Linked DNA regions of Arabidopsis thaliana. The protein of the gene in region 1 interacts with the protein of each later gene in a pairwise test. Each region holds a gene or a part of one and is shown in the gene's direction. Other genes may lie near its edges.

Region 1 (4,619 bases):
AAGATGGATGAGGCAGAGAAGTTGTTTGTGGAGATGAAAGGGAATAAGATTGGGCCTAGTGTTGTGAGTTACACCACGATGATTAAAGGATATCTTGCGGTGGACCGAGTTGATGATGGGTTGAGAATCTTTGAGGAGATGAGATCTTCTGGTATTGAGCCTAATGCTACTACGTATTCGACGTTGTTGCCTGGTCTGTGTGATGCAGGGAAAATGGTGGAGGCTAAGAATATCTTGAAGAATATGATGGCGAAACACATTGCTCCAAAAGATAACTCGATCTTTCTTAAGCTTTTGGTGTCTCAGAGCAAAGCAGGGGATATGGCGGCAGCCACTGAGGTGCTCAAAGCCATGGCTACACTGAATGTTCCAGCAGAGGCGGGACACTATGGGGTTTTGATTGAGAACCAATGCAAGGCTAGTGCATACAATCGTGCTATCAAGCTTTTAGATACGCTTATTGAGAAAGAAATCATATTGAGGCATCAGGATACTCTGGAAATGGAGCCCAGCGCTTACAACCCAATAATCGAGTATTTGTGCAACAATGGCCAAACGGCAAAAGCAGAAGTGCTTTTCAGGCAGCTGATGAAAAGAGGTGTCCAAGACCAAGATGCCTTAAACAATCTAATCCGTGGTCATGCAAAGGAAGGAAACCCAGACTCTAGTTACGAGATTCTGAAGATAATGTCGAGGAGAGGTGTCCCTAGAGAATCAAACGCATATGAGCTGCTCATCAAGAGCTACATGAGCAAAGGTGAGCCTGGAGACGCGAAAACCGCACTGGACAGCATGGTCGAAGACGGGCATGTCCCAGACTCATCGCTTTTCAGGTCAGTGATTGAGAGTTTGTTCGAGGATGGTAGGGTGCAGACAGCAAGCCGTGTGATGATGATCATGATAGATAAAAACGTTGGTATCGAAGACAACATGGATTTGATTGCCAAGATCTTGGAAGCCCTCTTAATGAGAGGACACGTAGAAGAAGCCCTGGGGCGTATAGATCTTCTGAACCAAAACGGACACACAGCTGATCTGGACAGCCTCTTATCTGTCTTAAGCGAGAAAGGGAAGACGATTGCAGCATTGAAGCTGTTAGATTTCGGGTTGGAGAGAGATCTCAGCTTAGAGTTTTCGAGCTACGACAAAGTGTTGGATGCGCTTTTAGGAGCTGGGAAGACTCTGAATGCGTACTCAGTTCTTTGTAAGATCATGGAGAAAGGAAGTTCAACAGATTGGAAGAGCTCTGATGAACTGATCAAAAGCTTGAACCAAGAAGGGAACACAAAGCAAGCTGATGTTCTTTCTAGAATGATCAAGAAGGGACAAGGAATCAAGAAACAAAACAATGTTTCTCTATAGAAACTTGACAAAGTGATTCTTTCTTAAGTTATTCTCCTTTCATTGTTGGTTCAAGTCAAGTCAACAACTTCAGTTATCTTCTCCAAATAAATCCTTTTTTGAAACTTGTTTTGAAGGACGCGTTTGTATGATCATTCTGTGTTTTCTTTTTGGTAGGAATTGTATCGTTCCTGATTTAGTTTCTTAACCTCTTGAAAACGTTAAATACGTAAAAGATTTTTTTCGAAGATTTGTGTTTGGAACAAGAGTTGCATCTTCCATTGGCTGTTAGTAAAATATCTTATCTTCTCATAGATTTTTAGCTTCAGCATGAGACGTGCCATCTCCACTGTCCATCCAAAATTCGACGGTCCAGATCTCATCTCATCTATCATCACACTTCATATTATGACAAGTAGTTAGTAGACTGTCCCAATAAAATCACAACCAAACACAACTAATTTAAGTGAGAAAAGCACATAACTTTATCACAAAAAATATTTAGAAAAGTAAATACAATAAGCATACTAAAATGCAAAACGAAACAATTTGCGACATGTATTAAATTTTTTGTATATTACTACTAAACAAGCGAAAAATAAAATAATTCCTATCATTTATGTGGAAACAAATAGTTGCAAAGAAAATAAAAATTCTTACAAAAAAAACAGAAATCAGAATATTGAGCCTAAAAAATAGTTTGAGGTAAAATTACAAAATAAAATAAGTTTGAGATATTTGTGCAAAGAACTTAATATATTTATTCATTTGCCCCATAAATACCAAAGACACTGCATCTTATCTCCACTCTCAAAATCATCTTCTTCACCCAAAAACCCCTAAAAGCCTTATCCCTTCTTCTTCCCATGGCTGCTTCAGCTTCGTCTCTCGCTCTCTCTTCCTTCAACCCTAAATCTCTTCCTTTCGGCGTCTCCAGACCTGCCTCCGTTTCCCTCTTATCTCCTTCCCTCTCCTTTAAACTCAATTCCGACTCCGTTTCCTTCTCCATCGCCGCCAAATGGAACTCTCCCGCTTCTCGCTTCGCCCGTAACGTTGCGATTACCTCAGAGTTCGAGGTGGAAGAAGATGGTTTCGCTGACGTCGCTCCGCCAAAAGAGCAATCTTTCTCTGCTGACCTTAAACTCTTCGTTGGTAACCTTCCTTTCAACGTTGACAGTGCTCAGCTCGCTCAGCTCTTTGAGAGTGCCGGAAATGTTGAGATGGTTGAGGTATGGATTTAGGGTTTTCCCCAATTTGTGAGTTATAGAAGAAAGTATTGTTCTTTTAGGGTTTTTATTGATAAATTGATACCATTACTCCTTTTTTTGTTATTTGTCTTGTAGGTAATCTATGACAAAATTACAGGAAGAAGCAGAGGTTTTGGATTCGTGACTATGTCTTCAGTTTCTGAAGTTGAGGCAGCTGCTCAGCAGTTCAATGGCTATGTAAGAATATACTTCTCTACCTTACTCTATCTTCGATTGTTGAATATGAATTCACTGAGGACTAGCTTTATCTTATCTTGTTGGTATGCGTTTGTGTTTTGGTGTGTGTGCTTAATGTGTTTATGTTGTTCTATGTTTCTGTGATAAGCTGTGTTTGAATGCAATCTTCAAACTTGTGGCTTCTAAAGATAAAACTTGGACCTCTGTGTTGTTGTTCTTATTGTATTAGGGTTTGGTTGCTTCGGTTAACCATTTTGATGTGAATTTGTAGGAGTTGGATGGTAGACCTTTGAGAGTCAATGCTGGTCCCCCACCACCAAAGAGGGAAGATGGTTTCTCCAGAGGACCTAGGAGCAGCTTTGGAAGCTCAGGTTCTGGATATGGAGGAGGTGGTGGTTCTGGTGCTGGTTCAGGAAACCGTGTTTATGTGGGTAACCTCTCTTGGGGAGTTGATGACATGGCTCTTGAGAGTTTGTTCTCGGAGCAAGGAAAGGTTGTTGAGGCCAGAGTCATCTACGACAGGGACAGTGGTCGATCCAAGGGTTTTGGATTTGTGACATACGACTCTTCTCAAGAGGTCCAAAATGCCATCAAGTCCTTGGATGGTGCTGTAAGTATCTTTTGTACTCATACTTATACCAATATACACTTACATTGTTGTGATCAAATCAAACAACTCTTGATATACTTTTACTTGTGGCCTATAGGATTTGGACGGTAGACAAATTAGAGTCTCGGAAGCTGAGGCTAGGCCTCCAAGGCGCCAATATTGAGCACCAATCTATGACTTCCTATTCTCAAAAACGCATATTCTGGAGGGTATGATATTAACCATTGTACTTATAGATTGGCTTTTCGCACTAAACTACTTGATTACTGATGTATGGAGTTGTGAAATTGTAACAGGCGCTTCGAAGTAAAGAGGGTTTGTGAGATGATGGCAGTTTCAGACGGTACTAAGCTCTTAGCTTCGCCTATGTTTGTTGCCTTGGATGCAAGAAGGTCGTAAAGGAATGGTCTTTTTTTTTTTGAGAAACGTATAATTAAGATAGAAACTGGAGAGACCATGTTCTTGTCTGTCTGAATGCTGCCATTGACTGCTTCGCTTTGGTTTTGATTCAATTTTTTTTTCTCTCTATATCGTGGTCTCTTCTTCCTAATGCTTCTCTGTTTATTTGATCCTCTGCTCAAATGAATATGAACACACTTGAAAACCGGTTAAAACTCAAATCATGCAATGTTTAAAACCGAACCAATACTATTTGTGGAATGAACACTATCTTGCCAGTTTGTTCCATCAAAACGATATCATTCTTTGCGTTCAGCCGTGAGCCGTATAATTCCATTGATCAAATAACTAGCTGGTTCCAATTTGGGTAATCACAAAGCCCAAATGTTGAATGTAATGAACCATAGTGTCAAAACTCTCCGGTTTTGGATAGAAAGTAATTGCGATTGAATACTACGAAAATGGGCTTTTCTACATTTAGTCCATTAAGCTCAATTGGTCTGTCTCCTATGACATAGTATTCTGAGTTATGACTTAGATGCTGCTTACATGAAACTTAGCAAATGTATTAGATGTTGTTCGTTTGGGCCCAAACTGTATATGAATTTTTTTTTTTTTTTTTTGTCGACAACTGTATATGAATTTAGATGGTACGTCTGGATACAAATGATTTTGCATTAAAAGAATTTTAACATTATAAGTGTTAAAATAAGTGATTTTGGAGGTAATATCTTCATCCAAATCAATTAAAACATCGAAATATCCTCACAAAAATCATTCAAAATTCAGCAGCTAAAATTTTCAAAACATTGAAATGTCTTGGA
Region 2 (4,347 bases), on another chromosome or scaffold:
TCGTCAGTTTTTCTTTACCATTCCCCGAGACAATATGGTGGGTTTATTAATTATTTTGATTCTTCTATAATTCTTCCCATTATTTTTATATATTCTTTTTAAGTTACCCATTCTTTTTTCTTCAATGTCGAGACGTCGAGTTAGTTAGCTTTTACGGCGACTTATGGATAAGGCATTACGCTCGGAGCCATGGACTGAGTTGGATAGATATAATGCGTATAATATTTAATCCCCATAACCTATATTTTAATTCCTATACATTGTAATGGTAGCATCTCAACTTTAAGGTTAGAGTTGGAACCTTAAAGTTTATGAATATTACAAAACACTTGTATGGGGGTGGAGTGCATGAAAATTAGAGCTGGGATGTATATATGGGAATATATATGCACTACATTATCTTACATTTTACATTGAAAAAATATTAGAAGATATTGTTCTTCATTTATTTAAGTATATTTTTACTGCTGGTGTATTCTACTGCCCTATATATATCTCGAAAGTTAAATAAATTCATATGTTATATAACTTTTAGTCATTCGTGGCATTCTTCTGTTACATCTTACTGTGGATTTTTCGTCTTATTATCTTATAGCTGACTCTTACTTTAGAGAGACAAGTATACCACAATGGAAAGGGTGATTTGACGGTAAAAAAAGCGATTGCAGTGTACCCACAAACGACAATTTATAATTTGTATGTGGGATATATAGTAAGGGAAATAAAAATCATAGGGTTAAATAGAAAAAGTGAATGAAACTGTCTTGTAGTTGTAGTAGACGAATCAAAAGGACACGTAGATGGTCAAGATACGAACCTCAAAGCCTTTTCCCTCCCATTTAATGATTCTTGTTTTTGTTTTAATCTATAATTTTTCATGATTTTCTTAAGTCTTTGTTTTGAAAATCACGAACGAATAAGTTCTGATGGATGTACTTGAATATTAGTAACAAGACTAATTGAATTAAAGAAAAGAGAAGTTATTCCTTTGACGTTTATAATTTTCCGCGGCTAAGGGAACATATACGTTCCTTGAAACTGTTGCCATGCAACTTTTGCTTTAACAGTTTAGAGAGTTTTTTACTTCATGCTACATCCTTTTTCTCCTGACACACACAAGAGCATATTATACATCCATGTACCTCCTCCATCGACCATCAATATATAGATACATGTGATTATTAATTATCTACATAAAAAGTTATACCACGAAGTTGCGATTGATAATATGAAAGTGGTACATGCTCGAAATAGATAATGAGAATATATCAGCTTTAGTTGTCTCATCGTTAGTCAATCTATATGTGCATATACAGTTAACAAGAAATCTATAAGCATATACGAACTGGGGTCCCAATAAGGTCTAAGAATCTTTTTTTTCTTTTTTTCTTTTCTTTGCTTTGCTTTAGTTTAGTTTGTGAAATTTAGTGAAAATTTCATTTTGTCTCATAGAGAAACCACATGTTAGTCAAAAATTATATAGTAAGTCCAAGAAAACTATATTAATATACCCATATTACCATATAGTCGGAGATTTCTAGTATCTCTAGTTTAGTTCTTCTTATTCATTATCAATTCAAGTGTTATAAAACCTCGAGACCAATAAAATAGGATTCACTCTCCTTCGTGCCCCCAAAGATATAGGTTTACATATCTATATTTCCACACCACCATTTTAAAAGCAAGAGTTAATTAAAGAGATATTTTTTAGTCATCTTGGTATGTAATCTGGTAAACTTTTTAGTTTGTTATCTTGTATAAACAACCAGTAAGATTTTGGTTCTTTTGTAAATACTTCTCTTTGAATTTAGGACTAGTGTTTTAAAATTACTTTCCTCCCATATTTTTGTTTTGATCTTTCAATTTAAATTAAAAGTTCGTTTACAACCCATGCATGCACACTTCCGAATTTAAACTCGGATTATAATTTGGCACTATAATAATCTATTAGAATACGTCTTGATTAATTTTAAAATATTTAGGTGTCTTAAAATAAGTACGTACGTTGATAAATATGGAGATATATACATCTGTCAAGTAAATGGTATTGAATTTGCCAGTATTAGCTTTTGTGAAGCTGACGCAAAATGAAAACGGCTGATATCTAAAGCTTTAACCTTGTGTTTCTTTTTTTTGTTTAAAATAGTGGGGTCTAGAAATGATAAATTAATTTAAAGTCCTCGATATATATAAATAGATAAATTTGTTTCTTTTGGGAATAACGTAGTTTACGGAGAAACCCAAATGTTAAAGGGAAATGCATTAAAGCTGTAGCAAAATAAGAAAGTAAAAACCAATTGAAACCCTAATTTCACTTCAAAAAATGTTCCCGGTTGTTAAAGGAAGGGCCTTTTGCTTTGTCCATATAAATATATTGTGAGAGTACAACAACACCTTCATAAGCTCTTACACTCATTTCAACTCTCTTTTTCGTTTCCATTACCCTCAGGTAATCATAACATATATATAAGTTACATTTGTAGATACATATGTCTTTAGTTTTGTGTAATTTGTTACTTAATTATTATTTTCTATGGTGTTGTAGAAGAAGATGAATAGGCCGGGAGATTGGAACTGCAGATTGTGTAGCCACCTCAACTTCCAGAGGAGGGATTCATGCCAACGTTGTAGAGAGCCTAGACCGGGCGGGATCAGTACCGATTTACTCAGCGGTTTTGGTGGCCGTCCGGTTAGTAGCTCCTTCGGTTTCAACACCGGGCCCGATGTGCGACCCGGGGATTGGTATTGCAACCTTGGGGATTGTGGGACACATAATTTTGCCAATAGGTCCAGTTGTTTCAAGTGTGGTGCCGCAAAAGATGAGTTTTCATGCTCAAGTGCTGCTGCAACAACCGGGTTTATGGACATGAATGTTGGTCCGAGACGTGGCCTTTTTGGTTTTGGCGGCAGCAGTAGTGGTGGTGGTGGTACGGGCCGTTCTCCTTGGAAATCTGGAGATTGGATTTGCCCAAGGTACTTTTTTGTTTGATTGTTTCTATGTATTGATGTTATTTTTTTGCAATAATATGTTTTGATGGTTAAAACTTAAAGCCAAAAAAGAAACATGCATGCTGGCTTACGTAAGCTAAACACGACCGTTTAAATTGTATTAATGTATATGCATATCGTAGAAACTGATTGGTTTAATTTGTATATTATAGGTCAGGCTGTAACGAACATAACTTCGCAAGCAGGTCAGAGTGTTTCAGGTGTAACGCACCAAAGGAACTTGCCACCGAACCACCCTATTAGTCATTTAGTCCTCCTACCTTCTTCATCATTTCCAAGTACTTTTCGTTTCAACAATAGTCTTAACTTCTGATCAGAAACAGTTCGACATATATATTTGGATGATAGAATTTGTTAACATTTACAACTTTATTATATCGTAAAAGTTTAAATAGTAGTGTGAAATACACTAACGATAGTACTTTAACGTTAACGTACGTATCTTTTTGATTATTTTTTTTAGTACTCTGGAAGCATTAGAGGAGAGCAGAAAGGTGAAGAATCGAAGCAAGATACCGACCGCCCTTAATCTCTTGATTTGTTTAATTTCTTAGATTTGACTCGTTTTATATCTCGTAGTAGTCAGACCTATGTTAGAATGTAAGCATGTCGAGAGTTTTCCGAAGCATTTTGTTCTGATATCGGTCTCCTAGCTAGTATGTAAGTTTGTTTGAATGTATTCTTATTTCTGATAAAGTTGTTTCCTTCTGATTCCGCAATCACGATTCTCATCTAAGTTTGAAACACTTGAGTTGTTGAACGTACGAGAGGCTGAGAGCTGTTGAGAACTTCTTCTGTGGCCGCAAATCCAAATTGCATGCAAATGTTATTATATATGCAATTAAAATTTTGTTATATAATTTGTAGTAGGAATGTAGTTTTACGTTAAACCAAACACAAACTCTAGTAACCGTTTGAAATGGGTAGATGCATGGACCACAACGAAACCTTTTGTCCAATGCCTCAAAAAAAAATATGCATGAGCATTCATATTATGATGTGGCTTGGTGATAATGAGCTTACCACCAAATCGAATGAAAATGTATGAGTTCCACTCTAAAATGAGAATAGTTATCAGAAAATATTAATTATGTTATATATCATTAATTAGTTTAGAATTCTAATTTATTTTCTTGGTAACATTAAGTTGCAAAATTAATTTTAATTAAATACAAATACGGATTTCACTATATATTAAATTGCGTATTCAAGGCCATCTTTTCGCACATACATTCGAGCAGTCGAACAAAACCCATAAGAAGATTTTTGCAATGAAGTTTTGTCATAAACAACAATATTGCAACTGATCGATGACCGTTTCCTTAATTGTTTGTAATG

Evidence for each region.
Region 2: the proteins of AT2G37220 (region 1) and AT5G25490 interact in a two-hybrid assay, tested with the Arabidopsis thaliana proteins (one large-scale study listed by BioGRID).

What each region holds. Positions count from the first base shown.
Region 1 is NC_003071.7:15,633,920-15,638,538, reverse strand, and holds AT2G37220 (RNA-binding (RRM/RBD/RNP motifs) family protein), read left to right. Parts: upstream 1-2,016; 5' UTR 2,017-2,207; coding exon 2,208-2,570; intron 2,571-2,684; coding exon 2,685-2,786; intron 2,787-3,057; coding exon 3,058-3,396; intron 3,397-3,493; coding exon 3,494-3,559; 3' UTR 3,560-3,605; intron 3,606-3,692; 3' UTR 3,693-4,073; downstream 4,074-4,619. Other genes in the region: AT2G37230 (Tetratricopeptide repeat (TPR)-like superfamily protein), read left to right, coding at 1-1,362. UniProt on the Arabidopsis thaliana protein: Could be involved in splicing and/or processing of chloroplast RNA's.
Region 2 is NC_003076.8:8,874,088-8,878,434, forward strand, and holds AT5G25490 (Ran BP2/NZF zinc finger-like superfamily protein), read left to right. Parts: upstream 1-2,233; 5' UTR 2,234-2,449; intron 2,450-2,545; 5' UTR 2,546-2,551; coding exon 2,552-2,973; intron 2,974-3,161; coding exon 3,162-3,252; 3' UTR 3,253-3,287; exon of another isoform or gene 3,288-3,472; 3' UTR 3,473-3,817; downstream 3,818-4,347.